4 linked regions of the Diceros bicornis minor genome follow. Each later gene encodes a partner of the first gene's protein in a complex. Links are inferred from orthologs where the notes say so. Each region holds a gene or a part of one and is shown in the gene's direction. Other genes may lie near its edges. The genes, in order: CHD5, MTA2, MTA3 and CDK2AP2.

The links.
Region 2: CHD5 (region 1) and MTA2 share a complex: the UniProt entries of both Homo sapiens proteins name them as parts of the nucleosome remodeling and deacetylase (NuRD) repressor complex. The link is inferred for Diceros bicornis minor from reciprocal best matches to the Homo sapiens genes CHD5 and MTA2.
Region 3: CHD5 (region 1) and MTA3 share a complex: the UniProt entries of both Homo sapiens proteins name them as parts of the nucleosome remodeling and deacetylase (NuRD) repressor complex. The link is inferred for Diceros bicornis minor from reciprocal best matches to the Homo sapiens genes CHD5 and MTA3.
Region 4: CHD5 (region 1) and CDK2AP2 share a complex: the UniProt entries of both Homo sapiens proteins name them as parts of the nucleosome remodeling and deacetylase (NuRD) repressor complex. The link is inferred for Diceros bicornis minor from reciprocal best matches to the Homo sapiens genes CHD5 and CDK2AP2.

Annotation. Positions count from the first base shown.
Region 1 is NC_080752.1:26,264,535-26,272,210, reverse strand, and holds the start of CHD5 (chromodomain-helicase-DNA-binding protein 5), read left to right. Parts: upstream 1-4,674; 5' UTR 4,675-4,695; coding exon 4,696-4,774; intron 4,775-7,676. UniProt on the Homo sapiens protein: ATP-dependent chromatin-remodeling factor that binds DNA through histones and regulates gene transcription. May specifically recognize and bind trimethylated 'Lys-27' (H3K27me3) and non-methylated 'Lys-4' of histone H3.
Region 2 is NC_080770.1:10,491,563-10,498,823, forward strand, and holds the start of MTA2 (metastasis-associated protein MTA2), read left to right. Parts: upstream 1-4,242; 5' UTR 4,243-4,691; coding exon 4,692-4,719; intron 4,720-5,454; coding exon 5,455-5,522; intron 5,523-5,891; coding exon 5,892-5,985; intron 5,986-7,261. Other genes in the region: EML3 (echinoderm microtubule-associated protein-like 3), read left to right, coding at 227-378, 459-584, 668-799, 1,256-1,323, 1,874-1,962, 2,034-2,131, 2,264-2,351, 2,881-2,979 and 2 more. UniProt on the Homo sapiens protein: May function as a transcriptional coregulator. Acts as a component of the histone deacetylase NuRD complex which participates in the remodeling of chromatin.
Region 3 is NC_080751.1:42,198,897-42,206,779, reverse strand, and holds the start of MTA3 (metastasis-associated protein MTA3), read left to right. Parts: upstream 1-4,865; 5' UTR 4,866-4,890; coding exon 4,891-4,918; intron 4,919-6,138; exon of another isoform or gene 6,139-6,153; coding exon of another isoform or gene 6,154-6,202; intron 6,203-6,606; coding exon 6,607-6,674; intron 6,675-7,883. UniProt on the Homo sapiens protein: Acts as a component of the histone deacetylase NuRD complex which participates in the remodeling of chromatin.
Region 4 is NC_080770.1:6,041,523-6,047,924, forward strand, and holds CDK2AP2 (cyclin-dependent kinase 2-associated protein 2), read left to right. Parts: upstream 1-3,917; 5' UTR 3,918-4,286; coding exon 4,287-4,368; intron 4,369-4,374; exon of another isoform or gene 4,375-4,510; intron 4,511-4,683; coding exon 4,684-4,784; intron 4,785-4,872; coding exon 4,873-5,005; intron 5,006-5,372; coding exon 5,373-5,440; 3' UTR 5,441-5,892; downstream 5,893-6,402. UniProt on the Homo sapiens protein: Acts as a component of the histone deacetylase NuRD complex which participates in the remodeling of chromatin.

The DNA of each region.
Region 1 (7,676 bases):
TCTTTTTTAAAGCATTGGCATGTTAATCTGTTCAGCAACAAAAATTTTGTCCTCACTGATTAATTGCTGTACCGACAATGACCTTGGTTTTCATTAAGCTTGAGAAAAAAATGTGTCCTTTGTTCCCATTTTTTCACCTTAGTTGTGCTGCTGTGCCTCAGTGAGATTCTGGAGTTGACTGTAACTGAGCTCTCCATGTAGAATTTCTTCAGATTCAGAGCCAGGAGGATAACTTTGCAAACAAATGACTTTTTGTGATGGGGGATGTGTCATGTGAACCTGAGTCCCGTTAAACCCATTACACCAGCTGTGCTTGAACCCCATTTTAGACCAATTTCATTTTTATCTGTCTTGCCTCGTGGCCCACCTGCCAGATCTGAAATATTCAAGGCACAGGACCGGATTGGGTCATGGAGAGTTTCAAGCTGAGATTTAAGTTCATAAAAGTGAAATAGGCAGTTGGTACAGTCTCGTTTTCAGCTGGCTCTGGTTACCAACACCATCTCTCCCTTGGCTTGATCCATACCATCTCTGTCGGAAGACTAAATATTTGTTTTTTTTCCTTAAAGCCTCAGCGACCCCTTTCTCCCATGGCTTTTTCAGGGGTGAAACTGTGCTCTTTTCTAAGTCATGTCATCCTCTTAGCTCTTCAGGAAGAGGTCCTAACTGTTCACCAGTGGTGCCTAGCACAGGTGTTGAGAAACATTTGTGTCAGAAACGGAGGAAAGTGGCGGAGTTTAATCATATCAAATATTTAAGAGGGTCAAAATTACAGAATGTTCTGGGGTATTTAGACCTCAGCCTTTTTAGGGGACATGATTTCTTGGAGGGTGAGCAGGACCCCAGTGAGCGGTGACGGGTCCTTGGTCAAGTCGCTCGTAGCCTCAGGAGAGCCTGCAAGTTGGCTTTGGCAGCTTGCTTTCATTTCCTTCCTCTTGCTGCCAGGTCCTTGTGACTTCTGGTGACCCCCGCCACCTTATCGAGTGCTGGAAGCAGACCGGTGCTTGGCCCCTCCCTGTGAGGGGCACACACACCTAGGATGTGGGGTCCTGACGAGACAACCACAGATTTGGCAGGACCAAGCAGACAGACCTGCCTTTCGATAAACTCAGAACACGGGGCTGGCAGGGGTCAGAAGCCACCCCGAGGGAAAAGGACCTGGGTAGTCTCCTGCTGGAGGTGTTGGCTGAATCCCGGTAATGGGCCTCTGTTCTTTGCGGTAATACGCTGTGGAGGTCACTTCTCTTTCTGGAGGGAGAGGAAGGTAGGAAAGAGGCCTGTTTGGGGGATTTGCCATCTTAGCAAGGAGGTGGTGTGGAAGGAGGCAGGTGGAGGGCTGCCTCTTAAATGATGCCATAATGGTGTTTATCTCAGGGAAGAAAAATTAAGAATTTGTAATCCAGACATTTTCCTATCTTTCCTATATTTGGGAGGATTTGAGAATCCACATTCTTTTTTCTAGGCTATTTCAGGCCTTCCTAAAACTGTTAAGGCTGCGCTGACCAGCTGAGTGAGTTAGCTGCTACCACAGTTCCCAGAAAGAACCTCTAAGATGCTTTAATTGAAGTCAAGTACTTCGCTTCAGGGCCATGGCCAGGAGTCTGCCTTTTTGAGAAGCCCCTCCCCCCATTCCCAGCAACCGGAAGAGATTTGGATTCAGGTGGGGCATGGCCCTTGCTTTGAGAAACAGGCTTCAAGTACAAGGGAGGTCTTGGTGGGCAGGGGGCGCTCACCCTTCATTTCAGAGGACCCTGCAACCATGCGAGTGACAGTCTCCCCCATCTCCGATGAGAGGCTGCAGAGTTTTCACCCCAGGGCACTGGCTGGGAGGGGTGTAGGAACAAGCACTTCACTGCAGAAGCCTAGGGTCATGTCAGGGCCATCAGGTGGCCACACTGGGATATATTGCTAAAGGAACCGGCCTCAGGCAGGACTTAAGGGGTGCCTGTGTGACAGATTCCGGAGTTGAGTGGGGTATGTGCTGAAGATACCAGCTATTGCAGCCCTGTTCTCGGAAAACCCTTTTTTCCTTGGTGCTTTCATAACCAATATATTTTTTAAAAATATTTTGATTTTGAATTGTCACTGAGGTGAAATTACAAGGTCTGTGCTCAGCAAGCATGAGAATCTTGTCTCCTAAAACTCTAACCTTAATGATAGACTTGTTCTCGGAATTGCAGAGTTTGTTGAATTTTTATCTTTTTAGGGATTGCTTTCAACATCAGGCATTTGGGGGTCCATTGTCATTAAAGTGCACATTTAATAGTTTAACAGTTCTCCTTTAAATACTGGTGGAAATTTCTAGTCAAAAATCCATTTGTTTCTGCCATTCCAGGGTTGGTTTTGTTTCGTTTGTGGTCAGTAAGTCATGTCACCTGGCCACAGCCACCGGCAAGAACAAGGATGGGGAGAGGAGTATGAGTGATGAGCATCTCAACTCTAATTTGTTGCCAAATTAAGCAGCTGGAACTGCTCTTTCTTGAGTGATGTCTTGCCTTTCTTAGCCTTGCCCTGGGAATTGGAGCCAAGGTTAATGGTGTGTGCGTGTGGTGGGGGGCTTTCTGGCGATGGGAAGTACTGTAAGTCACAGTTTCTCTAGAGTGGGACAGGGCACCTGTGCAAGTGTCTAGACCTCATCCCCCCATCTGGGAGGGGTTGGGGGCTGGGCTGGTAACTGAGAGGTGGGCATGCTTGGTGGCACTTAGAGTTTTTTCCTGGATGGTTGACATTTTGGAAGACAGAAAGTCCAGAAAGAGCAAGGCAGTCTTGCTGGTGAAAATGCAGGCCTCTCAGAGTGGCGGTGATTTGGGGCCCCTCAGCCAGAAGCCCAGTGATGTGAAGTACAGCCTTAGACGCGAGAAGCTCTCTGCTTTCTTAGTTCGCCTCCCTTTGCCCTTGTAGGCTGTCTGCCCTGGGCTGGTTCAACATCTCTCTATAATGTAGTTTAAAAGTGATCCAGGAGATGAAGGAGATTCCCAGCGCCCTGCACTGTGATCCTGGAGGCTGGACAGACCTGCTCTTGCCCAGCAATGAATGAAGAGGAGTTTTTTTGGGGGCTTGCTGGCAATTCATTTGGATGGGAAGGGGGAGGAAAAATTTGCTACACATCTTTCCAGCACTCTTGAGGCCATCCATCACCTTCTGATTACCTTGGACTCACTGTGGCTTGAGTTGTGGCAACCTCCCCAAGAGGTCTTGCATGAGGGCCCTGGCCAAGCAGGCGTGACTCTTTTGGTTCCCCAAAGGCCTCAGGAAAGGGAGAGCCCTTCTGGCGATACCAGTGTGGCATGGGTACTGGTGAACGCCACCTGGATGGGGCAGGTGCTCAGCCAAGACCTGAGGGATTGGTGCTAGACAGGAGGGAGATCTTCCCCTTGCTTCCTCTTGGCGTCCCAACTCAGGCAGATCCTGCGGGTCCCTGGCAGCCACGTGGTGCTCCAGCGCGGGGATCAGCCCGCTGCCCTTGAATGTGTCTGGCTGGAGGCAGTGAGGTGAGGGTACCCTCCCTTTATTGGCCATTCTAGGTTATTCTAGGTTAGTGCGCTGGCTATCCTGCCGGCCGCTGAAACTTTTGCGTTCTAAGAGTAGCTTTAAGACGTGCTGCAGCCGAGACTGGAGGCGCTCATTTAAAATTCCAGGCTCGCTCCCGAGGGCTCTGGGCTCCATCTTCACCTTTAACAACGGAGGGCTGGCGGCGGCTCCTCCCCGCTCCGCGACAGGTGTCGCTTCTGAGCGGGAGTTTTGGGCACAGAGAACGCAGATCTGCACCACCCCCAGGGGTCTGGATGTGTTTAAACTGGACCCAGCCTGGAGGGGCGTTTTGGAAGAGGGCACGTGGGCGGTGGGAGCCGGGTGCGAAGGGGTGAGGGAGGAGCCAGTCTGCACGGACTTTTCTGGGGGAATCAGACCCGCTGTCTCCAGAGCAGCCCTTCCTCAAGCGCGGAACACATTTTTCTTATAATCCTCTTTCGAAAGGTGATTAGAAGCGTGTTCAGACCGGAGCCGGGTGCGGGGAGGCGAGGGTCCCGGTGCGTGTGAGCGGAGTGTGGGGAGCTAGCTGCTCGCCGCCCCGAGGACCCCGCCTCCGCGCCCTTGGGGACCCCTGGGCCGAGCGCCTTCCGGGCGGGGGCGGCGGCAGGCTCTGCGTTTCCCCGCCTCCTTCTGGGCCCGGCTCGCCCGAGTCCCTGCTGCCTGCTCGGCCGTCGGGTCCCGGGGTGCGCCGGCGCCTCGACGGCTCCGCCGGCCGGAGCGCCCTGTCCCCCACCCTCCACCCGGCGGCTCAGGACTAGTCCCCCAACTTGTTCTCTGCTGTTAACTAGTCGCACTGCCGGAACGATGGGATGGGGTTGCCACAGCAACCAGACTGGACGTCACAATCCGGGCATGTGTGCCGCCCCCCCCGCCGTGCCGCCGGCGCTGCCGCCGCCACCCCCGGCCGGCTGCGGGACTCGGGCTGCGGGGCGCGGTGGGCGGAGCAGCCCGGGCGTTGCGGGGAGCAGGGCAAAGGCGGCCGAGAGGAAGGGGGTCGAGACGGAGGGGTGGAGGTTTGGGGGGGTGGGGGGGCAGGCGGCCGCCATCTTCTCGCCGAGGCCGCCTCGCCCGCCGCGCGCGCCCGTCAGGCAGCGCACGGGTTAAGGCTGGCACCGCGCCCGGCGGGAGGGGGGGCGCCCACCTCCCCTCCCCCCCGCGCCGGCTATGCGGGGCCCGCTGGGCACCGAGGAGGAGCTGCCGCGGCTGTTTGCGGACGAGATGGAGAACGAGGACGAGATGTCAGGTGAGCGGGGCGCCGGCTGCGTGCCGGGCCGGGGCGGCGGGGGGCGCGGGGACCGGCGGGACCCCGGGGCCGGACCGCGCGAGCGGCACTGGCAGCGTTCGGGAGGGGGCGCCCGGGCTGCGCTGCCGCCCTCCTGGCGCCGCGCAGCCAAGGGCGCGGGGTAGGCGAGCGCCAGGGCGCGGCACGCCGGCGGCCAAAGGCGGGGTGCGATCGGGGCCACCCTGGCCGCGGCGCGGGCCAGGCGCGGGCGGAGGACCGCGGGGGGGCCTGCGCTGGGCGCCCCGGGCGGGGAGGGGGCGCGGCGCCGCCGGGGTCAGCCCTCGTGCCCTTGAAGGGGGCGGGAATCGCGCTCGGCTTCTGGCGCCGCGCACCCCGCGCTGTGGCCCTACCGCCGGGCGCCTTTGGCCTTCCGGGGGCAGGCGGGACCCGGCCCCCGGTCCCTGGCCCATCTCGGCTCCAGGGCGTGCTGGGTGGGGCCCGGAGCAGGGCGAGGACGGGCCGTGCTTGGGGACCCGGCGAGGGCCCTGGCTGGGGCGGTTTCTCTTGGGCCCACGAGGGCTACAGGCCGGGGTGCGCGGGCTCGGACTCCCGCTCCCCTTCCCCGGCCGCTGAGTGCTGTGACCGCCGCTCCCAAGCACTTTGCCTGGGCCGCCGGCGTCGTGCTGGCACACCCTAGCGCCCGCCGCCGTCTCCAGCCTGAGACGGACCAAGGTAGTGGCGTTCCCAGCCTACTCCGCTTTGGCTATCGGTCTGAGCCCAGGGCCACCGCCCTTGCCCTTGCCATCCCTCTCAGAATTCAGCGTAAACAGGGCTTGTGTGTCAGGGGTAACCTTGCAGGATCATCCTTTAGTTAATTGCTCACCATTTGTTTGGGACGTTTCCCTTCCTGGCACAGCTGGGCAGGGCCTCACCCTGTCAACCAGCCTCCCTCCCTCCTTCTGGGGGACTGTGTTACTTCTCAGCTTCCCTGCACCAAATCTGTGGGCCCTCCTGGGCTCCTTAGAGACTTGTGGGAGATCCAGGGGCCCTCCCTGGCCCAGAAGTGTGCTGTCTGGTCTCAGGAGTGCCTTCCACAGGGGGGAGAATATTCCACAAATTGGCATCCCAACTCTTGTGTGCAGGAGGTGAGAAGGAGAGGACCCAGTGGGCAGCAGCTCCCCAGGCTGCTGGGTCTTCCCAGCTAGGGGATTCCCTCCAGGAGGCCAGGCCCAGGAGGGCCTCCTCCCCGCCACCCTTCAACTTGGTTGCTTGCTTTAAGGCTGTGATGGCCGCCCTGCAGGAGCCTGGCCTCACCCCATTTTTCAGACACCCTGCTTTTCAACTTTGCAAAGCTCCTGCTGGGGTGAGGGGAGTGGGGCTGAGGCGGCCCCACGTGGGTGGGGTTGCTTGGACAATAGTTGACTCTTACATATCCAGATCCAGGGAATCAGGCCCATTTCCCTGGAAGGGAACACAGAGGCCCAGCACAGGCATGGAAACCCGTGGCTATTTTCCACCCAGGAGGCTGGCTCCTCCCTAAGCCGTTCACTGCTTCCTCAGCAGGTGGTTTCCAGTGGTACTCTGGGCACGGCCCCTTTGTGGCACGATAGGGGCACTGGACATGCCTTCACAGGCTTATTCCAGAACTTCACCGGCCCCCTGATGGGGTCTCCTGTCCCTCTTTCCCACATACTCTGGCTCTCCCTAGTGGTGTCAGGGTGTGGAGCGTGGGGAGGGGAGGAGGCCAGGGAAAGTACCCCCAGGCTGATGGGCCCCCAACTCACCCTGTTTGGGCCAGAGGGCTTGGGTCTTGGTCAAAGTCACCTGCTCACCACCCATTCTCCCTCTCCCTCCTGCTTGTGCCCATTGCTCCGGGGCAGGGCAGGGTAGGGGTGAGGTTGTCCCCAGGGCCTCTAGGAATGCCCCCAAAGCCCTGCAGAGGAGGGCCATGCTCCGGCCACTCTGGCCTAGGGATTGCAGCCCCATCCTCAGCAAGACCAGATGCTCCACCTCCAGAGTGTGATCTGAGCCTTCTCAAGCTCCCAGCTCCTCTCCATGTGCCTGGTCCAAGCCACCGTCCCCTTCTGCTGGTCCACTCCAGAGGCTCCCAGCCAGTCCTCAATGACCAGCCTCCACTCAGCAGCCAGGTCACCTTTGTAAATCAGACCCAGACCCCCATGGCTTTGATTGACTGCAGAGCTCCTGCTCTGTCCCGCCCTCATCATCCCCACTCCCCCTTGTTCACCTACTGCAGCCACACTGGCCTCCTTGCTGCTTCTAGAACCCCCCAAAGCATCCTGCCGTTGAGCACTGGCTGTGACCTCTGCTGACCTGCTCTTTCCTCCGCTCACAGCTGCCTCCTTCCTGTGGTTTAGGTCCCAGCTCAAATGTCACCAAGGGGAGGCCCTCCTTGACCTCCTGGCTCAAGGGTGGCCCCACCCCTGTCGCCCTCAGACCCATCTTAATGCTGTATTTTCCTGGCAGCCTTTCCTATTACCTGGAATATTACCATCAGCCTACTTCTGTGTCGATGGGCTCCCCCTCGAGTGTACTCCCTTGGTCACCTGCCGTGCCTGGCACATGGTACCGTGGGTGCTCAGGAGATGGTTGTGGTCTCAGTGTCTGAGGGCTAGGAGTCTCTAGGTCACCACTGGCCCCCAGACACGATGACAGCCTCAGCCCAGGCCTTGTGTCTCTCCTGAAGTGCTAGCCAGCTGGCCCCCTAGCTCTCCATTGCAGCCGCTCTGCAGCCCTCGGCCTGTGTTCGAGGCTGTGACCCGACTGGACCTAGAGCCAGCAGGTTCCAAACCATCACAGTTTGCGGGCGGAGGAGCTAGTGTTTGGGAACTGTCGTGCTCATTTTTAAATCTGCAGCAGATTGCACTCGTTACTTGTCAAATCGACTTTCTTTTCACTCTGCCCC
Region 2 (7,261 bases), on another chromosome or scaffold:
ATCCTAGTTTTGCCGCTGGTTGTCTGGCCTTTAGGAAGTTACCTCACTTCTTTGAGCCTCAGTTGTCTAGTCTGTAAACGGGAGAATAAAGGCTGAGGATCAGAGACAGTATTCAGTAGGCACTCAAGAGCTGGGAGTTATTACTCTATTGTGACAGCCTAGGCTGCTCCTCTTCCCCACTTCCCTGCACCCCAAGAGCATAACCCACCCAGGACTTTGCCAACAGAGACCTACGGGATTGTGGCTCAGGCCCATGCTCACGAAGGTTCCATCTTCGCCCTGTGTCTCCGGCGGGACGGGACGGTGCTGAGTGGTGGTGGGCGGGACCGCCGGCTGGTACAGTGGGGGCCCGGGTTGGTGGCCCTCCAGGAGGCTGAGGTGAGGGCTAGGCTGGGTTCAAGGGAGGGAAGGGGAAGAGGAATGGCCAGTGGGCCTGAATTTCTGCCACCACTCTGCAGATTCCTGAACACTTTGGGGCCGTGCGGGCCATTGCTGAGGGGCTGGGCTCTGAGCTGCTGGTGGGAACCACGAAGAATGCGTTGCTGAGGGGAGATCTGGCCCAGGGCTTCTCCCCTGTGATCCAGGTCGGGGGGCCAAGGGCTCGGGGAAGGAGGGAGGGTAGAGCTGTTGAGGAGGGGCAGAGGTGACAGCCCACGCTTTGCTACAGGGCCACACGGATGAGCTCTGGGGGCTCTGCACACATCCCTTCCAGAACCGTTTCCTTACCTGCGGCCATGACCGGCAGCTCTGCCTGTGGGATGGGGAGGGCCATGCGCTGGCCTGGAGCATTGACCTCAAGGTAGAGCCCTGTGTCCCTGGATCCCCAATGCCACACCCACCATGACTCCTGTGGCCACCAGTCCTTCCCCAACATCCCCTTACCTTCTGCTCTCCAGAGGCAGCCAGTTTGTAGTGGTATGGCTGTACTGGCTAAAACATTCATTCTTTGCTGATGCCTCCAGTGCCCCCTGGGCACTGCCCCCACCTCAACCCTCCAGACCACCCCTTGATCCAGCAACAAATGGGTAATCTCCAGCACAGCTACGGGCCTCAGTTCTGGTTGTTAAATATTTTGAGTATTACCCCCTGTTTAGGCTCCACTGACACCCTGCTTCCACCCCAGGTCTACTCGCCCTCTCCTCCCGTTTCCTCTTTGGGAGGAGGAGGCTTCGACGTTACCAAGATGACAAGGTGTCCCTCTTGGTTACCTCACTAGAAAGGCATCTTATTGAATTCACCTTCTCCCCTCTCCCAGGAGACTGGTCTCTGTGCTGACTTCCATCCCAGTGGGGCAGTTGTGGCTGTAGGACTGAACACGGGGAGGTGAGAGGGAGCCAGGACCCCTGGGAGGGGAAAGCAGGAGGTATGGGAAGGGTTCCTGGTAATGGCGGGGTGGAGGAGCGTGATTGCTGCCCGCTCAGGAGCCCCAACTGCACCTTCCTGCTCCTCAGTGCTTCTCGGTGCCGCCCAGGCCTCCCCTGCTCTCCTGTGGCAACTGTCATCACACCCTCCCCCAGCCACTCTCCTCTCCAAGCCTGGGAGTGGAGGAGGTGGCAGCTCAGGATAGAGAAGCAGTGGGGATGGGAGGGGCATAGGGGAGACTAACAGGCTTACAGGGAAGTGACAGGCGTATAGACTCCATAAGGACTTTGTCATTGGGCCCCTGTACTCCTTTCCCAGAGGACATCAGAAGCCCCTCAGCTTTTATCTGCCCTTAGCCCCCTCCCATTTCTCAGCATAAGAATGCAGTGGTGACCTCTCTGTCTACATCATGGTGTTTCTGTGGGTGTCCCTGAGGCTCTCCAACTTGCCAACTCCCACCCTGCCCAGGACGGGTATCCTCACACCTGCTCTCCGCCCCCCCCCCTTCTAGGTGGCTGGTTTTGGACACGGAAACCAGAGAGATCGTGTCCGATGTCACCGATGGCAATGAGCAGCTCTCAGTGGTCCGGTACAGCCCAGGTGGGAGCCACCCCTACCCTGGATCCAGACCCATCCCTGGTCCTTCCCTCTCTGAGTGACTGTCTTTGTAGATGGGTTGTACCTGGCCATCGGTTCCCATGACAACATGATCTACATCTATAGTGTTTCCAGTGATGGTGCCAAGTCCAGCCGCTTTGGCCGCTGTGTGGTGAGGAGGCTGGGGTGGAGGGTGGGGCATTGCCATAGCAGGTAAACTCCTCAAAGGGGTCAAATGCATTAAGTGGGGCCGAGGGATGGGAAATGGTGGCTACACTTTTAGTCTCTTGACCCTTGCTCCCAGGGTCACTCCAGCTTCATCACTCACCTTGACTGGTCCAAGGATGGGAATTTCATCATGTCCAATTCTGGGGACTATGAGATCCTTTACTGTGAGTGGCAGTAGGGGAGGGCATGGGGAGAGGGTAATTAGGGTGGGTTTTATTTGTGTGTGTGTGGGGCTCCTGGTTGGGAGGGGATGAAGGAGAATATGTGGGGAGCCCCAGGTGGAGGGGCTGTTACATAGGGAGGTGGAGATGGCATTGAAGGGGGGTTGGAGGTATACACATAGGAGAAATTTTGTGATTTGGAGAAAAAACCACACATAGAGTTTACACCATGTCTTGTTCCCACAAAGACTTGAGGGAGTTGAAAAATGCACTAAAAAGATTGTTTTGGAAAAGTTGCTCAGGGCAGGTGTGGAGGGATTGACTTATCTATGGACGAGGAACTGACAGAAGCTGTTAGGAAAACATCAGCGAGAACTCAGGAAGCACGTGGGGGGGCTGGGTTTTGCCCTGGGCTGGGGGCTACCGTGGCGACCAGATCACATGCCACCGCCTCAAGCCAGTGTTTCCTTCTGGGCATCTTCCCAACTGAGGGCAGGATGAGAGCTCAGCTGGGTGGGCTCCCTCTCCCCAGGGGACGTGGCTGGAGGCTGCAAGCTGCTGAGGAATCGCTATGAGAGCCGAGACCGGGAGTGGGCTACCTACACCTGCGTGCTGGGCTTCCACGTATACGGTGAGCAGGGGTGCAGGGGCGCGGAACACTGCGGGACGGCGGGGGGACAATGTGCAGCGCGCCCCAGGCTCGGAATGCTGGGTGTGTGTGGAGGGGTGGGTGGGGGTTGAGAAACTGGCAGAGCCAGCCCAGGAGGCCCCTCCGGCCCCGAGGAACCGGGAAGGATTGCCTGAAACGCGGCCGGTGGGTGGCCCCGCGGCTGCCTGAGCGCCGGAAACGGTGCAGCTGTGGGCCGTGGGTGGCGGCGGAGAGGAGGCCGGGCTGAGGCAAGGCGCTGTGCTAGGCGTGTGGCCGGACGGCTCGGATGGCACCGACATCAACTCCCTGTGCCGCTCCCACAACGAGCGCGTGGTGGCCGTGGCCGACGACTTCTGCAAAGTGCACCTCTTCCAATACCCGTGCGCGCGCGCCAAGGTGAGGCCTCCCGGGGCCTCCGGGGCCGGGCGGGCGGGCCCGGGGCTCCGTGGCCGTCGCAACTCCACCTTCCCTCCTGCCCAGGCGCCAAGCCTCGTGTACGGCGGCCACGGCAGCCACGTGACTAGCGTCCGGTTCACGCACGACGACTCGCACCTCGTCTCCCTGGGCGGCAAGGACGCCAGCATCTTCCAGTGGCGGGTGCTGGGCGCCGGGGGCGCGGGGCCGACGCCCGCCACCCCTTCTCGAACCCCGTCCCTGTCCCCCGCCTCCTCTCTCGACGTGTGACCGCCGCCTGACGGGACCCACCGGCCCTGCGACGTGGCCCCGCCCCACCCCAGTACCCCAGGACCAGGGGCCGACCCTTTCCTCGACTTCGAGACATTCCCGATCGCGCATTTCCCTGGAGGGGGAGAACGGCACTCCTGCACACACTGTATAGACCCGCTGGCTGAGCCGGGCAGCCCCAGCCTGGGCCCTGGCTCCCGCCGCCTGCTGAGGGGCAATAAACCAAAAGCAAAGTCACCTCCCAGTCCTTTTGTGGGGCGCGGCTGGGCGCCTCTGGGGCCCTACGGGGGTGGCGGTGAAGGAAAAGGGTAGTGCGGAAAGGGTAAGAGAGCGTAGACTATTCATGCAAATAACAGGCAAAGCTGCTTGCAAATAGCTTGGCGAACCGCAAAGGCGCGCGAGTCTTTCGGGCCGCAGGCGGAGCTGCAGGGCTCCGGCGAGGAGAGAGTTAAGCCCAACTCCTCTCTCGCTCTCGGAGGGGGGGCCGAGTTGCAACGGAAATAACCGAGCGCCGGGCCGCCGTTGGCCGGACGGAGCCGAACCTCTTCCGGAAGTAGCCGATCTGTGGGGTCTCGCTCTCCGACCTGAGCCGAGCGCCCGGCCTTGTTCTCCGGCTCGGCCGAAAGTGTTCCGGAAGGAGGCGAACCCCGAGGCGGGCAGGGCAAGCGTTCCCCGGGGCTGGCAGAGCCCAGCGTCTGGTGGGGCTTGGCGGGGGCGGGGGGAGCCGGAGCCTGGCTCCGGTCCGGCGGGAGCCGAGCTCGTTCCGGAAGAAGCCGAGCGGACCGGCGCCGGCCTCGGCGTCTGGGGCGTGAGGCGGTAGCGGCGGCGGCGACAGCGCGGGCCGGGATGAACCGCGACGGCTGAGGCGGCGGAGGTGCCGGCTGCGCGGACCCGACCGAGACTTCCGCGAAGTGCCAGCCCCGCGGTCGGGACTTCGCCTCCAGCCGAGCCCCGTCCCCGCGAGCCGCTCAGACCCCTTTGTGCGGCCGGAGGCGGCGGCGGGAACGGCCATGGCGGCCAACATGTACCGGGTGGGGGGTGAGTACCGGGCGCAGGGGCTGCGGGGCCCGGACGGGAGAGGTCGGGGTCGGGACCGGGGAGGCTCGGCACCCAGCGGCGCGGGAGCCGCGTCTGGGGCGGCGTGGTCCCGAGCGCGGACCGGAACCGGAACCGGGAGCGCGGGGAGCGAGGGTGCGGGGACGGCGCCGCGGCCGGGCGCCGAGACTCGCGGAGAGGCTGGGGCCGCCCCGACGGTACTCGCGGGGCCGCGCCTGGGGCCACGGGGTCGGGGAGTGGGGCTGGGAAGGTGTTTCCGAGGGAGCTGACAGCGCGGGCAGGGGGCGCGAAGGGCCGGCGACCGCTCTGCCACCTGCGGGGGAGCCGCCGGGCGGTTTCCTCTCCCCAGGCGTTATTGTGCGCCTCGGTCGCAAAGGTGGGGGCGCTGAGCGAGAGGGAACAATTGCTCGCTTCGCCGAGACTGGGGTGCAACTCGATCTCCGAGTTGTGGGGACTGCAGGGGGAACCCTCTGCTTCTGGTCTGTTCATTAAGGCTCATTTTTGAGTGAAGGATCTGATTTTAGAACTAGGTGGCTAGGCGTCGGGGGCTGGCGTCGCTTATTAGACTCTCCACTTCCACATTTCAGCGCCCTCTCTACCTGGACTCTCATCGCCTTTTGGTCCACTCAGGCCTACTTTCTCTCCTCCTCCCCTGGTGCTCTGGCTCTCCCATCTCCTCCTCTGATCTTCCCGGTTCTTCCCCACCCCCTCCTACAGATTACGTCTATTTTGAGAACTCCTCCAGCAATCCTTACCTGGTTAGACGGATTGAGGAGCTCAACAAGGTGAGTGGAGCAGTCTCATCCTCCCCCGCAAGTGGTCTCTTTCTTCTGAGGTCTCTAACTGTGGGTGGAAGAGAGACAGAGAGAAAGAAAGAGGACCCTATTCTAAGTACCCATTCATATTCATTCATTCATTCATTCATTCGATGTATTCAGGAAAGGCTATTGAGAGCTTAGTGGGAACTTTACTTTTCTATTTCTTGGGGCCTAAGGAAAGGGATATGGAAGTCTGTCCTTAAATCTAAGTCTCCTTATTCATAATTTCTTGTGTTTTCCTACTTACATCCCTTAGAAACTTATTCACTGTTGTTAGTCTCTTTGTGCCTTTTCACTTTCAAATGACCAGTTTTCACTGCCATTTTTCCCCCTTAGACTGCAAATGGAAATGTGGAGGCAAAGGTTGTGTGCCTTTTCCGGCGAAGAGACATTTCTAGTAGCCTCAACAGCCTGGCTGATAGTAATGCCAGTGAGTGTCTTGGTACCCCCACCCCATCCCGGCCCCCCTTTCTCCCCCTCCCCGTGATCTGAGGCCAGGGCATGTCCCCGCAGGTGTTTCCCCTGGTAGAATGCCCAAGGCAGGGGTGTGAGTTTGGGGGTGGGAAATGCCTGGGCTGTGGAGGGAGGCCTGGAGGGAGGCTTGTTTTTACACGTTGGGGTTGGAAGCAGAGTGGAGAGACCATGATAAGAAAAGCCAGAATATGGCTTGTATGTGAGTGTGTATATATGAATGGTGTGTGTAAAGGAGATGATAGTATTTAAATAGGGGATGAGGAAGAGCTTTAGAGAAGAAGGACCCTTGGGGGACAGTTTTGGGTGTGTTGGAACAATGGGTGGTGACTGAAGGTCAAGGTGAAGAGGAAGAGATTGTACCTAGAAGCCTGCTTTACAGGAAAGCAGGCTTATTTTGTGATCACGAGATAGTGAGAATGCATTGAAGGCAGAGAAGAGGAAGCTAGGAAAGTTTTCTTGCACTTTTTCCTGTTTCTCATCTCTCCTGTTTTCCCTTCTACTCCATTTTACATCTTTATGTTTTCCCTTTGCCCAATCTTTCTTCTCATTATGCTTTCATGTTCTTTTAAAAAATTTATTTCCTTCAGTTTTCCTTAGTTTCTTTTTTCTTTCCCCTTCCTCTTGTTCCTTCTTCCTAAATTATTTTCCTTATTTCAGGCTGCTTTGGGCATGAAGGGGTTAATGAGGAGCTGGGCCTACCAAGTTCTCTGGCCCTCTGGGGTTTCCAGCCTCATCTGGCAGGGGCTGACCTTGGCCTTGTCCAATCAGAAGGGGTGTGGGGGGTGTGGTCCCCCTTGCTTTCGTACATGGTTTCCGGAGCATACAGTGAGGGGTGGAGCCTGCTGCACACCCCCCTTCTCCCTGAGGTTGGGAACAATGCACCAATGAGCCTTGGCCTGTGGCTCTTCTGCCCCCTCCCACTTTGGTTGGCGCCCAGCCAGGTTAACCCTTTGCACTGAGGTTTCAGGGCAAGCTGCAGCTCCTTGGGGAGGAAGGTGTTGGCACTGGCTTGAGAGGTACTATCCTTGAAAGCCCCCCACACAAACTATTATTAGCCAAATAAAAAGTGAGGGATAGTTAGGATTGCATGTGATGTTTAAGAGCAAAGAGTCTCCTGAAATCTGAAAAAAGGAACTGGTAAACACAACCTTGTGTGATATTTTGTCATCTTATTGACTTTCTGGACCTCAGGCTGGTTTGGCAAGAAAGAGACAAGTGTGATATTCTTACTG
Region 3 (7,883 bases), on another chromosome or scaffold:
TCTTTTCCTCTTCCCTCCCCCACCTCACTCTGGCTGCTTTTCTAGAGCTGGGAGCAGAACTTGCTGAGAATTTTACTCCCTGGCTCTTAGGAGATGGTCAGCCCTGGGCATTCCCCCTTGTCTTTGCCATCTGTCTTGGTCAGTGACTTGTGTGGCTCGCTGCCCATGCCCTTCCTGTTTGCACATTTGGACCTGGACTCTGATCTCCTGAACCCAGACCTGCTAAACCTGTTTTCGCCCAAGCTGAAGGACTCAGGGAACCTGCTTCTTCCCCTGGGGCCAGGGTTTGGCATACTTCTTACACAAGACAGGCTGGGCTCTGTGCTGATGGTAATACAGAAGACGGTACTTCTAGCCCAGATGTCTCTCCTAAACTCCAGGCCTGTTCATCTACCTCTTTCCTAAAGAGGAAATACTTACCTGGATGTTTCCAAAGGCACCTTGAACATAACCCATCTAACACTAAACCTGTCAACTGTCCTTCCTCCCCCAGCTTGCCTCCCCTCCCATATTCTCTTCTTACTGAATTGTACCTCTCTCCACCCAGTTACTCATAACTTGGTACTACCCTTTCACTCTATGCCTCCCAAAAGTCACCAGAGCCTGTCGCTCCTACCTACTAAATCTCTCTCAAATCTATTTACTTCTCTCACACCCCACTGCCTCTACCCAAGTCAAGCCATCATCCCTCTCAACCAACCTCCCAACTGATCTCCTGGCCTGGATTCTCCACCCTCTCCAATCACTCTCTTTGCTGCAGCCTGAGTCATCCCTTCAACATCTCCCATTGCCCCTTAGGATTCTTGTTCCTAATCCCAAACCCTATACTGCCCGGCCATCTCATTCAAATCCACAGCACTCCATAGGCTAAAAAGGGAAGCACTAATGTCAATTAGATCAACCTTCTAGGGGTTCATCCCTGTCCCCCTTGTGACTTTCAGTCCCTTTTCCACTATCTGGAGGCTATGTTGTCACTAGAAAAGGAAACTCCTTGTGGATGCAACCAAATGGCTGAGCCAGCATGAGGGCATGAGGGGACCATGGAATCCTAAAAAACATACTGTAAAAACCAGGACATTCTGGGATTGGTCCTAGGTTTCATGTTTTTAGCCCAGGGGACGGAGGGAAGAAGAAGCTCCATGAACTGGGGAAGTTACGAACTCCTGACTCTTAATTTCCTTTGCCTTACGGGCTCCCTTGCTTTGATTCTTGCTGTCACGTGCCCACCTTTCTCCTGGGATACATTCATCCACCTTTAAAACCCATGACCTCCTTAGAATAGCTGAAACACGCTGTGGCTCTTTTCCAAAAGAATTTTACTAAATAACAAAATAAGTTAATGAAAGAAGAAAAAGAGAGAGAAACAAAACAGAAAACACAAGCTATAGTCTCTTATCCAAAGCCTGGCATTTGGTTTCAGATTAATTACATTCTAGACCCCCAGGCTCCTTTTGTGAGTTCAATATCACAAAGCTCCCAGACTCTGTGGCCAGCCCCATCTTTTTTTTTTTTTTTGCATGTATAAAAACTCCATCCTGAAATTGAAACAAAACCAACTTTTTATCTTATCAATAGCTCTCTTGCAGCATCTACTTCCCTTCAGCTAAATGGTGGGACACTGGTGGGACTGACACAGGGAACGTCCTGGGTCTTTAGGCAATCTCTAATCATGGTTCTTTAATCACAAGAGCCATCCCAGGAAATTTTACCCACGGGAGGGCTAGATTTGCCCTGATTTCTGACATGGTCTGAGAGACACTTCTTCCTTAGTAAGGAGGATGGCTGGAATAGAGAGAAGAGACCTATTAAGTATGAAGCTTTTAACATGTGCAAACACTTTATATATTTAATTATTAGCACAAGCCTTTGCTGTAGGTGTCAATCACTAGTCATATTTTGTAGAATTTGAGGCTCAGAGGGATTAAGTAACTTGCTCATGGTCTTAAAGCTAAATAGCCAAATTAGAGTGAAGTTTGGGCTGGTTGACAACAACTTTGTGATCTGAACCACACAGCATAAGGACATGAAGGTGCTTTTGCCTTCTTTGAAGGTGCAGGCTTTTCTACCCTCCCTTGTCAGATTGGAGGGTTTCTTTCAATCTACAAACATTTGCTGAACTCCCTTATGTGCATACCTCTTTGGTTTTATTTTATTTTATTTTTTTGTGAGGAAGATCAGCCTTGAGCTAACATCCATGCCAATCCTCCTCTTTTTGCTTAGGAAGACCGGCTCTGAGCTAACATCTATTGCCAATCCTCCTTTTTTTCCCCAAAGCCCCAGCAGATAGCTGTATGTCATAGTTGCACATCCTTCTAGTTGCTGTATGTGGGACGGCGGCCTCAGCATGGCTGGAGAGGCGGTGCGTCAGTGTGTACCCGGGATCCGAACCCCGGCTGCCAGTAGCAGAGCGCGTGCACTTGACCGCTAAGCCACGGTGCCGGCCCCTCCATACCCTTTTGGTTTTAGAAGGTATAAATGTTTCATAAACAAAGTCCTTGCATTTAACTCTGCACCTGATTCTCTAACTATACTGAGCCCACCATTCATGGGCACTTATTCTTTCTGATATTGAGCATCTGCTATGTAGAACACATTGGCCCAGGAGCTGGAGGTGGAAGAGGCTAACTAACTACACAGAATCTAGAGGAAGAAAGCGCCCCAGGTTCTGCCACCATCATTACCTCTGGCTCCTCCCCACCAAGTCTCTGAGGCCTTTCATGGGGGGCTTCTGGATGAGGCTGTTCCTAAGGGGAGGAGGTAGGTAGGGATGGGGGGCATTTTCTTGGCACCTTTTGCCTATTTATTGTGGTTAGTACAGCCATCACAAACACCTAGTAAGGTGCACAAAGCTGGGGAAATGAGACAGGCAGACAAGGAACTAACAGAAATACAGAAATATTTTGAAATAAAGAAATTGCTCATATATTTAAAAATAATGGGAAAACCCCTTAAAGCTTATGATCCATTCCTTTGCAGTTTATGGTATCCAGGTGGCTTTTTCACTTGGAGAAAGGCTTCCTGGTTTAAAGAATTCTAGGCCAGAGGAAAGGGCTGAATTATAATCCCAATACTGCTGCCAGTTTACTGATGACTCCAGGTGAATTATTCAACCTACTTATGTGTCAACTCAGAAATGGAGACAGTGATGTCAGATATGTCACAATATGTTTTTGGTGGGATCTCTAGTAAAAGGATTATGATAAACAACAACTATGCAGTGTGCATAACAGAACATTTTTGCTTTTTTCTCTGGGTCAAAAGAGCTAACTGATGCAGGCTCACAATTTGACACATGACATAAAACCCTTGAGAATCTGAACTTTCTGGAGTTAAAAAAAAAAAAGCAACAGACACCTGTTATTTGCATAGTGCTCTATGCTGAATGGTTTACAAAGCATTTTGAGATATTGTCACAACTGATCCTCACCCCACCTGTGAAGTGGAATTAGTGTCCCCATTTTATGGATGAGGAAATTTGGGTCACACACAGTCAATCAAGGTAATTCAAACAAAGGTGCTTTATTTCTTATTTTATTTTGTACTTTGCCTCAGCTTCATAGAAAATTATTTTTTTCACCTCAATAATTTGTGATAAGGGACCATCACAAATGCCATCACCATACAAACAAAATACAATCTTCTTTTCTAGGGACACCTGCCATCCCTGCACAGACCCCACACCCAGTGTCAACAACACATAGTTGTAAATCATCAGAAACTCCAAACAACGCACAACAACAATAAGGGATCATCTTCATGTTTAGTATACAACGTCTGGGAGTAGTTTAAAACGGATTGGCTTCTCTAAAGAAAGTTGTTTGTGTTCATTTGGGGGACAGCCAGCCAAGATTCAACTCTATTTGGTTTTTTATTTCTGTGAGGGTATGAAGGCTGAGAAAACAGGGATTGTTTAGAGAATTAGCATGGGAAAATAATAACTATTTAAAAGCTTTGGGCACATAACCAAGTTAACTGTCCAGCAATCAACAGCAAGCTGGTTGACACTATTTTCTCCTTTGGGGGGTGGTGGTGATGATGAACTGTAGGGCTCTGTTCCCCTATGGGCAAAGGAAGACCCCCCCCACCCCGTTTTCCTAGTAGGGCTGCACTGCATATAGGGCCTGTCTAGAGGCAAGGCCTCCAGCTGTAGGGGAGCGGGTTCTGTTCAGCCATTTGGGGTGAACGCTGATAGACATGGCACTGCAGTTAGGGTAGACTTGAAAGGGAGGCAGTTTTTCTAGCCTCCTCCCCAGCTGGGTCTCTGCCTGGGGAAGCTGGAAGCACCTGGGGCCCCCCTGGCCCCACTGTATTAACATCACCACGAGGAAGGCGCCCTGCGGCATGCACTTATTTGCATCCAAGTGTTTGCACCGAGACAGGCACTCACGTGCTCAAGGTCACACATACTGAGTCTCCCCAGGGACAGAAGCAGGGAGAAAGACCTGTCTCGGGGTGGGCAGGTGTCGGGGTACGCTGGGTGGGGCGGTAGGGGCTCCGGAGAGGCTGAGCTCTTGCCCCCAACCCAATTCTCTAATACCCCTGGTCCGCATTTCCGAGCGCGGGCCTCCGCTTCGGCCAGGACCCTTGCCCTAGGATCCCCCCCTTCCAGCAAGGCCCCCCAAACCGCCCCCCTCCCCAATTCCCTGCTGGCCCCGCAGCGCTCGGACTTCCCCGGGCCCGGCCCACTCGGCCTCGCTAGCCCGGCGCTGGGGGCGGGCACCTGCCCCCACCCCTCGCCGTCCCCTCCCCTCCACTTCCCCCTCCCCTCGTTCCCTCCCTCCCCTCCCCCACGTGGCGAGGCGGCGGCGGCGGCGGCAGCGGCGGCGGCCGAGGCTGAGGCGGCGGCGGCGGGCGGGGCTCGGCTCGGGCTCCGCGGGCGGGCGGGCGGACATGGCGGCCAACATGTACCGGGTCGGAGGTAGGAAGGCTCGGCCCGACCCGGCCCGTCTGGGAGCGGGCTCTGGGAGTGGGGGGTTGGGGCGAGTTCACCCTAACCGCAGGGAGCCACGGCGCCCAGGCTGAGGGCGCAGGGGAGGGGGGGCGCCGGGGCCCGCAGAGGGGGCCGGGGCTCCCCACCCCGCCACCCTGCACTCCCCCCTCCCCCTGCCCCCTTCCCCCCACCGTGGCCCGCAAGGGGCCTGGCCCACCCACACCCCCACACCCGCCCAGTGATTTAGGGCCAGGCCTGTACTTGGGGGTATGAATTATCAGACGCCCCCCTCCATGAAAGCCCCATGGGGGTAGGGGCCGTCGAGCCCCCTAATAGGGTGGTCTTTCCTGCGTGGCTTCTAGGCAGTGGGGGTTGGAGAGGATGGGGGACATCCCCCCATCTTGTACTCCTCTCCTTCAGTGGGAGTGTGGGGTGGGGGTGGGGGCGATGGGGGCCCAGCCAGGGGCACAGCTGGACAGGCCTGTTTGCGAGGACAGGGCCCTGCACCTCTCCTTCCTCACTCTCTCTTCCGTTTCTTATCCAGCCCCCCAAGAATGGGGCTTAGTGGGGCCGGGGCACCGCAGCCGGAGGTGGGGAGTTGAGCTCTGCCTGGACGTTTGCTCTCCTGTCTCCCTTCTTCTCAGCCTTCTGCAGAAGAGAGAAATAAGGTCAAACAAACTTTCTCCCTAGTCAGGACGCCCTCCTCCCTCTTTCTTGGTAGAATAATAATTCAGATAAGTGGCGTGTTTGTGTGTGAGACTTGCTCTTCCTTCTCTGCTCATTAGCTGAGCTCCTGATGGATGGTGGTGGGAATGGCCTGGCTAAATGAGGCCACTTTGCAGAAGAGAGACGGGAAAGAGCCACTAAGATAGACAATAACAATGCAGCCCAGCCTCTCAAATGCACAGTGGGAAGTTTCCAGTGAGCCTATTAGATGAGAGGAAAAGCTACACTTGAACATTTTTATCCTTTTTGTTGAAAATCTGCAGCGATTTCTTTATAACAAGACCCCAAATGGATCTGGATTAAATATGGTAAAAGAGTATTAAACAGATTCTGATGTCACTTCTAGAGAGCTCTGTCTCTCAGAAAGTGACTCCCCTTTCCCCCTTTTTTCCCCTCGTCTTCCTAGATAGAGCTGTGGAAAAGTTTGTCAGTGTGCTTCCTCTTACCTGCTCTGGTCACCTGATTTTTTTTTTTTTTTTCCGAAGTTGGTGATTGAAATGTACTTTGGGCTCCTAAGCCTTTCAAGATGCTCTGAGTCTGTCTTAGGTCAGTAGTTTTATGTGAGAAGCATACTCCAGGGCAAATTGGATTGGATGGAAAAGATGTGGAAGCAGTTACAGTATGAAAGACACATGTTTAGTCAGCCCTGACTACTCAATGATGATAAGAGGTGTCTTTTTGTTTGTTGTTAAAGAAATGACATGTGTGGGACAAAAGTCTAGGAGAACTTGATAAAACATTAATTGAAATGAAAATGCCAGGAAAACCAGAATCTGTGAATAGTGGGCACATAGGAGAATATTTTAAGGTTGCATTACTAAGTTTGCTTTTACCAGGGAATGAATTACATACTTCATTTTGAATGAGAATTGCCTAATATAAAAAGTCAGAGATTGACAAATGTGAACTTTTGTTGAAAAGATTAAGCTCTTTACTTCCTTAAATTGCAGATTATGTCTACTTTGAGAATTCCTCCAGCAACCCATACCTAATCAGAAGGATAGAAGAACTCAACAAGGTATACACTTAGTGTTCTTGATTCTAATATTAAAAAATATTTGTTTTCCATTGAAGGGTAATTGGGTAAAGGGCATTAGAAGTGATTTTACTTTCTGTCCCAGACTTTTTGAAAGTAGAGATTTCAGATTAGAGAGAGTTATGCAGAATTCTGAATATTCTTTTGCTTTTTATAATTACCTCTGATATTAAATGTTGTTATTTAACGTGTAGATTTCTTCAGATTGCTTAGAGCTTCTCAGAGCAAGTCACTCCTGTAACTCAGTCCCTTTTTATATTTAGAGTCATAATTTGTATTTCTCCCTTTTTAGTGAATTAATTTTTTCCTCTTCTAGCTTTAGAAGGAGGAAGCTAGGAAATATAATATTATTAAAGGGAATTTGTAAAATTCTGGACTAGACCAATAAGAATACAATTTTAGTTTAGTATAAAATGACTTCTACCTTAGGCCCAAGTAAATAAAACTCTTACATTAAAGTTTGTCCCTGATCACAAGTGTCCGGGACATTAGAAGCATTGTGACTGTTTGCAGTAGCTGAGCTTTTACAATGGAGGCACTCAAAAAGGGTCATAAATGACATGGACCATAGATTTCTTTCTTTTTTTTTTTTTTTTGTGAAGAAGATCAGCCCTGAGCTAACATCCATGCCAATCCTCCTCTTTTTGCTGAGGAGGACCTGCTCTGGGCTAACATCTATTGCCAATCCTCCTTTTTTTTCCCAAAGCCCCAGTAGATAGTTGTATGTCATAGTTGCACATCCCTCTAGTTGCTGTATGTGAGACGCGGCCTCAGCATGGCCGGAGAAGCGGTGCGTCGGTGTGCGCCCGGCATCCGGGCCCGGGCCGCCAGCAGCGGAGCACGCGCACTTAACCGCTAAGCCACGGGGCTGGCCCAAGACCATAGATTTCTAATGACGCTCTGGTTTCCTCCAAACCACCTTGAGGGTTATTTGTGTAGTTTATGAGAATTCATAGTGTTAAAATGTTTGGGGCTGTCTAGTTAATACCTTTCCCCCAAAATACCATCTGGAGACTGGTCCAGTTATAAGTCCTGGGAAGCCAGGTCTGGCCAAGGACATTCCTCACTTATGAGCCTTAAGATCTTGGTTTGCTTCTGGGGATACCCCAAGGACCTTGTATTTTAAAAACTTCTGTAGTATTTGAGACCATCACCAAATGAAGAGAATGACCTCAGGATTATATCAGTCTG
Region 4 (6,402 bases), on another chromosome or scaffold:
CACCTCCATTGACTGTTGCCATTTGGAGCAGGCTGGAACTACAAGATCTTCTGATTTTCCAAGAGAAGCTGTAAATTCAGATTTTTACATTAAGTCCACTTGAAATAGTTTGAGTATAATATACATTCAGTAAGGTGTATAAATCTTAAGTGCACAGCTCAATGAATTTTTACAAGTACACGCACCCAGGTAACTGTCACCCAGATCAACATATTACATCCACTTATCTTATTTTAGAACAGTTCTAGGTTTACAGAATCATTTCAAAGATAGTACAGGGAGCTCCTGTATACTCCACACCCAGCTTCTCCTGTGTGTTAGTCAAGGCTCTCCAGAGAAACAGACCCAATGAATGTGTGTGTGTCTGTGTGTATATGTGTGTGTGTAAAGATATTTATTGTAAGGAATTGGCTCAGGTGATTCTGGGTGCTGAGCAGTCCCACGATCTGCAGTCAGCAACCTACAGACCCAGGAGAGCTGGTGATATAGTTCCAGTCTGAGCCCAAAGACCTGAGAACCAGGAAAGTTGGTGGCATAGGTTCCAGTCTGAGGGCAGGAGAAGACTGATGTCGCAGCTCAACAGTCAGCCAGGCGAAGTTCCCTCTTACACAGCCTTTTTATCCCCTTCAGGTCTTCAACTGATTGGATGAGGCCCACCCACACTGGGAAGGGCAATCTGCTTTACTTTGTCCACCAGTTCAGTGGATGTTAATCTCATCCAGAAACACCCTCACGGACACACCTGGAATGATGTTTGACCACATGTCTGGGCACTCTGTGACCCAGCCAAGTTGACATAAAATTAACCATCACATGAGGGAGAAGTGAGAGTGGCTTCAATGAGACCAGTTGTTGCTGCTATGCTCCCAGTGTCTAAAACACACTGGATGGTCGTGCTGGTTCACATCTTACATTAGAATTGTACATTTGTCACAGTTAACGGACTAACACTGACACACTATTATTAACTAAAGTCCACATTTTATGCAGATTCCATCAGTTTTCCCCTGCTTATCCTTCTTCTGTTCCAGAATGCCCCCCAGGACGCCACATCACATTAGGCATCGTGTGTCCTTAGGCTCCTCTTGGTTGTGATGGTTTCTCAGACTTTCCTTGTTTTTTAATGATCCTGACAGTTTTGAGGAGGACTGGTCAGGTATTTGTAGCATGTCCCTCAACTGGGATTTGTCTGATGTTTTTCTCATGATTAGTCCGGGATTATGGATTTGGGGGAGGAAAACCACGGAGGTAAAGTGCCCTTCTCATCGCGTCATATCAAGGGTGCATGCTATCAACATGATCTCGCCATTGATGTTGACCTTGACCACCTGGCCTGAGGTCGTGTTTGTCAGGGGTCTGTCCTGTAAAATTACTCTTTCTCTCTCTCCTGTTACATACTACACTCTTCGGAAGGAAGTCGCTATGCACAGCCCACACTTAAGGGGTGAGAGGTTATAATCCTCATTAATGGCAGAGTAGCTACATCAATTACTTGCAATTATTCCCTGCAGGAGATTTCTCTCTTCTCCCGCATTTATTTATTTATTCAGTCAGTCATTTATTTTTATCTGCATGGGCTCATAGATATTTATTTTATACAAGTTATAATTCAACACTATTTTATTTATTTTGTTCAAATTGCTGCAGCCTTGGTCAGTGGGAGCGCTTGCAGTTGTTCCTGTGTCCCTTTGCCATACCCCCAGCACCTAGGGGGTTTGGGGATTTGGGGTTTTTTTAGGTTTTTTTCTTTAGCATTTTCTTACCCTTGGCACTACAAGATGCTTCAAGAGCATCTTGTATATGTCCTGCCCCAGTCCTAGAATCAGCCATTTCTCCGAGGAACTCTAGTTCATTTTATTGGAGAATGGTATTAGAAACCAAGATCTGGGTGCAAGGTTGCTTCTAGGACTTTCAGCTGATAGAGTGAGGAGATATGTGTATATACTAACCTACGTATATATACCTTTTTAAATATTTCTGTATGCAACCAAACTGTATCTACATTAAGCTAAACATGAGTTCATATTGATGTCTCCAACTCCAATCCATTACCACATGGATCATTCTAGCCTCCTCCCCTTGCTTACCTGTAACTTCTTATTCCAACAGTGAGAAATCATCCACCCTACGTTTACTTAATTTTCAATTCCTGTGCACATGCGCAGTGGTTTCAGCATTGTTACCCCCACCCCCACCGGAGCCACTTCATCAACTAGAGTACAGTGCTCTGTGCAGTCCCTTTTGTCTTTATTCTTACAGACTCCAGCCACTTCCAGATTCCCACCTTATTCCTCCACTCCCTTCAGTGAAGCCGTTTCATATATTTGTAATACAGCTAGATTCTTTTGTCATAGTCTGCATTCCATCCTGGGATCCCCTGGCCTCCTAAATGATTTTTTAAATTTGCAAACATTAAAGTTTACTCTTTGACAAATGCTTATGTCTTGTATTCACCCTTACAGTATCATACAGAATAGTTTCACCACCCTAAAGAAAATCTCCTATGCTTCACCTATTCAATTCTATCCCTTACACCCCAGGCAACCAGTAATTGTTTACCTTCTGTGTAAGTTTGCCTTTTCCAGAATGCCATACAATTGGAATCATACAGTATGGGGCTTTTTCAGACTGGCTTCTTTCACTTAGCAATATGCCTATCTGTGTCTTTTCATGGCTGGATAAATGATTTCCTTTTATTGCCGAACAATAGTCCATTATATGGATATATCACAGTTTGTCCATTCACCTATTGAAGGCCACCTCCTCTGGGAACACTTCTGTGATGTCACCAGGGAGTCCCTTCGTCTGAGTTCCAATGCACTGTCCCAGTCTCCACATTGTCTTACTGTGCTGTGTACGGGAAGCCGTTGCTTCCCTGCCTTTCTCTCCTTGAGACTAGGAGCTCCTTGAGGACAGAGGCCATGCCAGTTCACTTCGGTATCATCAGTGTCCAGCCTGGGATGGAGGATGGAGTCAGAAAATGTTTGTTGGATGAATGAATGAATAAATGTCCTGGGGATGAGGATAATCTACAGACCTGGGGGCATGAAGGATACACAAGGCTAGAGAGGTTTGGGGGAGAAGTAGCCTGGGAGAAAGGATTAGTGTTTGGAGCAGAGTCTAAGATCTAGAGTTGTGAGGAATGAGATTTGAGGGGAGGGGTCTGGGTGGAGAAACGGATAGGAAAGAGGAGAATGAAACAATAAGCCCTTTATGAATATTCATTTAACCCACACAACAGCCCTGTGAGATAGTTATTAGCGTCCCCATCTTACAGATGGGGAAACCGAGGCACATCGAGATGAGTAACTTGTCCAGGAGGAAATCGCTGGTGGGGGTGGTGTGAGATTCGTACCCTCAGTCCGACTCCGGTCGGTGCTCCTGTCCATGATCCGTTTGGTACAGGGCCCGGCGTGCAGTCAGTAATCAACGAAGGTCAGCTGTTCCTGCTACGGTCATTGCGAGGCACGGGCGTGGGGCCGTGGTGGGGGGGCAGGTTGCGGTCTTCGAGGTCGCCCCTGGACCTAACAGCAGCCTATGAGGATAAGGCAATTGGGAGCAAGAGGCGCGGCGGTAGCGTTGGTGAGGGTCCCGTTGCCATGGGAACAAACGACGGCTTCATGACAGCGCATGCGCGGATCGGGGACCGGGTGTCGCACCGGTGAAAGGTGACGTAAAAGCGCACGGGGTGGAGCGCAGGGCTCGGAACGTCAAAGCCCTGCGTCCTCCGCCACCCGGAGCGGAGGGAAGGCGCGCTCGGCTGTGTCGGCAGCGACAGCAGCCCCAGCTGGACCGAGACCGGGCGGCGCGAAGCTGACGTACGGAGCAGCGCGAGTGAAGCGTGAGGGTGGCGCCGGCGCCCGGGAAGACCTTCTCGGCGCGGACCGGGCGGACCAGACCCTGGTCCGGGCTGCCGAGGCCCCGCCTCTCGGGTCTTGAGACTAATCGGATTGAGAGCGCGCCGGCCCGGGCCGCGAACTCGCCAATTGCCGAGGGCGTCGGCCACCGCCCAATCCGGAGCAGACAGGTGCGAGGTCCGGAAGGCGGAGACCAATCAGCAGCGATTGCGGCATGCTGGGGCCGGTCTCGGCCAATGAGGAGGCCCGAGTGACACCTCCGTGAGCCAATCGGGAGTGAGGGAGCGTTCGTGGCCGCCCGCCCTTCCGGCCTGAGCTGTATTTACCAGGGGCGTGCAGCCGGTTTACCAATCAGAGTGCGGCTGAGCGGCCAGGCAGCCAACCCCGGAGGAGCGGCCGGCCGGCGTCCGCCGCACCCAGGAGTTGGGGATGTCCTACAAACCCATCGCCCCCGCCCCCAGCAGCACCCCCGGCTCCAGCACCCCTGGGCCCGGCACCCCGGTTCCTACAGGTGAGGACCCAGCTCCACCCCTGCTCGCCTGCCCGGGCGGTCGAGGTCTGGAAGAGAAGACGGCCTGAGTTCTGCAATACTGGGCCTGCCGCCTACCTTCGCTGAGCCTCAGTTTGCTGGCCTGGGAAGTGGGCGTCGTCACGTAAGGGCTTGTTGGTGGAGCGCAGGGGGGAGGGATTTGTCCCTGAAGTTGAGCAGCCTGGAATGAAGCATCTCTTTGGAGGGAATCGGGCGAGTCCGGTCGGGGGCTTGGAACGCTGGGAGGAGGTGTCCCTGCCCCGCACTGACTTCGTAAATTACTCGCGCATGTTGCAGCTGGGAGTGTCCCATCGCCGTCGGGCTCGGTGCCGGGAGCCGCTGCCCCTTTCAGACCACTGTTTAACGACTTTGGACCGCCTTCCATGGGCTATGTGCAGGTGAGTGAGGCCGAGGGACTGCCTGTGGATGGGGACTGGAGGCCCCCTCGGGACCTGAGCTCACTGCCCTGTTCCTCTTTTGACACAGGCAATGAAGCCACCTGGCGCCCAGGGCTCCCAGAGCACCTACACAGACCTGCTGTCGGTCATAGAGGAGATGGGCAAAGAGATCCGGCCCACCTATGCTGGCAGCAAGAGCGCCATGGAGCGCCTGAAGAGAGGTAAGTGAGGCCACGCCCACCCCCGCTGCCCAGGAGACTCACACTGGACACTCCTTCATTAGGAAAGGAAGAACATCTGGGGGCCACCAGAGCCAAGCCTAGACCAGGGCCAGTATCAGTCTCCAGAGAGGCATTTTGAATTGAATTGAAATTGAGTCGATTTCCAGGGAAGGACCAGGGAATTTGTATTTCAACAGGGCAAGTTTGAGGATTAGCCAAACCTCTAATCTCATCCAGCTCCTCTTTAGATTATCATCCCTCTTACTGAAAGGAAAGGGGGTGCAGAGAGAAGGGTCTTCCTTTGGAGGGTGGGGGCGGGACTGTGGAGATCAAGACCCTGGATGTTACTTATGCATCCCCACCCCAGGCATCATCCATGCCCGGGCCCTAGTCAGAGAGTGCCTGGCAGAGACAGAGCGGAACGCCCGCACGTAACAGGACGCACCTCCACCTCGGCATCTGGACCTTTCCCGGCCACTGCAGAGCGCCTCCTTCTCCCTGGCCTTCACCCCGAGATGCACTTCCCATCCTGGGCTTCCTGTCCTGTGTCCCTTGGTGGGCGTCCTCCAGGAACCAGGGGGCAGCTCTCACTCCAGTTGGCAGCACTAAGTGGGACCCCCACAAGAGTTAGCAGCGAGGTCACCGTGAGTTTCACCCATGACCTGCCAACAGTGTTGATCCCACTGGAGCCTTCTCCCTTCTGGGGCCCCCATCACTCAGCACTTGCCCAGGACTCCCCACTTCTCCTAGACCCCTTCTCTCCCAGCAGGGCCTCGAAAGGCCTGTCACCTCCCTGCCTTGTCTCCTGGGCCATAGTGATTCTTTTCTCAGTGTGTCTTTTGCTAAATATCCCCTTTTTGTATAAATAAAAGATAATTTGGAGTTGTTTTCTCAGCTCATAATCCTTGAGTCTGGTGCTTCTGCTAAGCCCAGGTGGGCTTTGAAGAAAGAGGGCAAGAGGAGACCCGGAGAGGGGGAAGGGGCAGTGCAGTGGGTGGGAGTGAGGCTGGCTGAGTTAGCCTTGCCCCTGCTGTCCATTGACCTTGGGTGGGACCGTGCCCTTCTCTGGCCCTCAGCCTTCCCAGCTGGAAGTAGTGGAAAGAGTTGAGCTCCAGTAGCTCAGAGCCCTGCCTGCCTGCACGTGGTGTCACCAGGGGGCAGTGCAGGGCCTTGGCTGCCTCCACAGCTGGCGGGCACTGTCACCAGCCTGGGCCTAGATCCTCTGGATTGGCCTTGATGCCTGGCAGGGTGGAAAAGCCTTTTCACTTAAGCTATGTCCTCATGTGCCTTAATGCCCCAGCATCCTAAATTTGGAATCAGCCCTGGGAGGCTCTGAATACACACGGTCTCTGACTCCTTAGAGAGGGGAGGGGGCGCTGGTGCTGCCCTCCCACCAG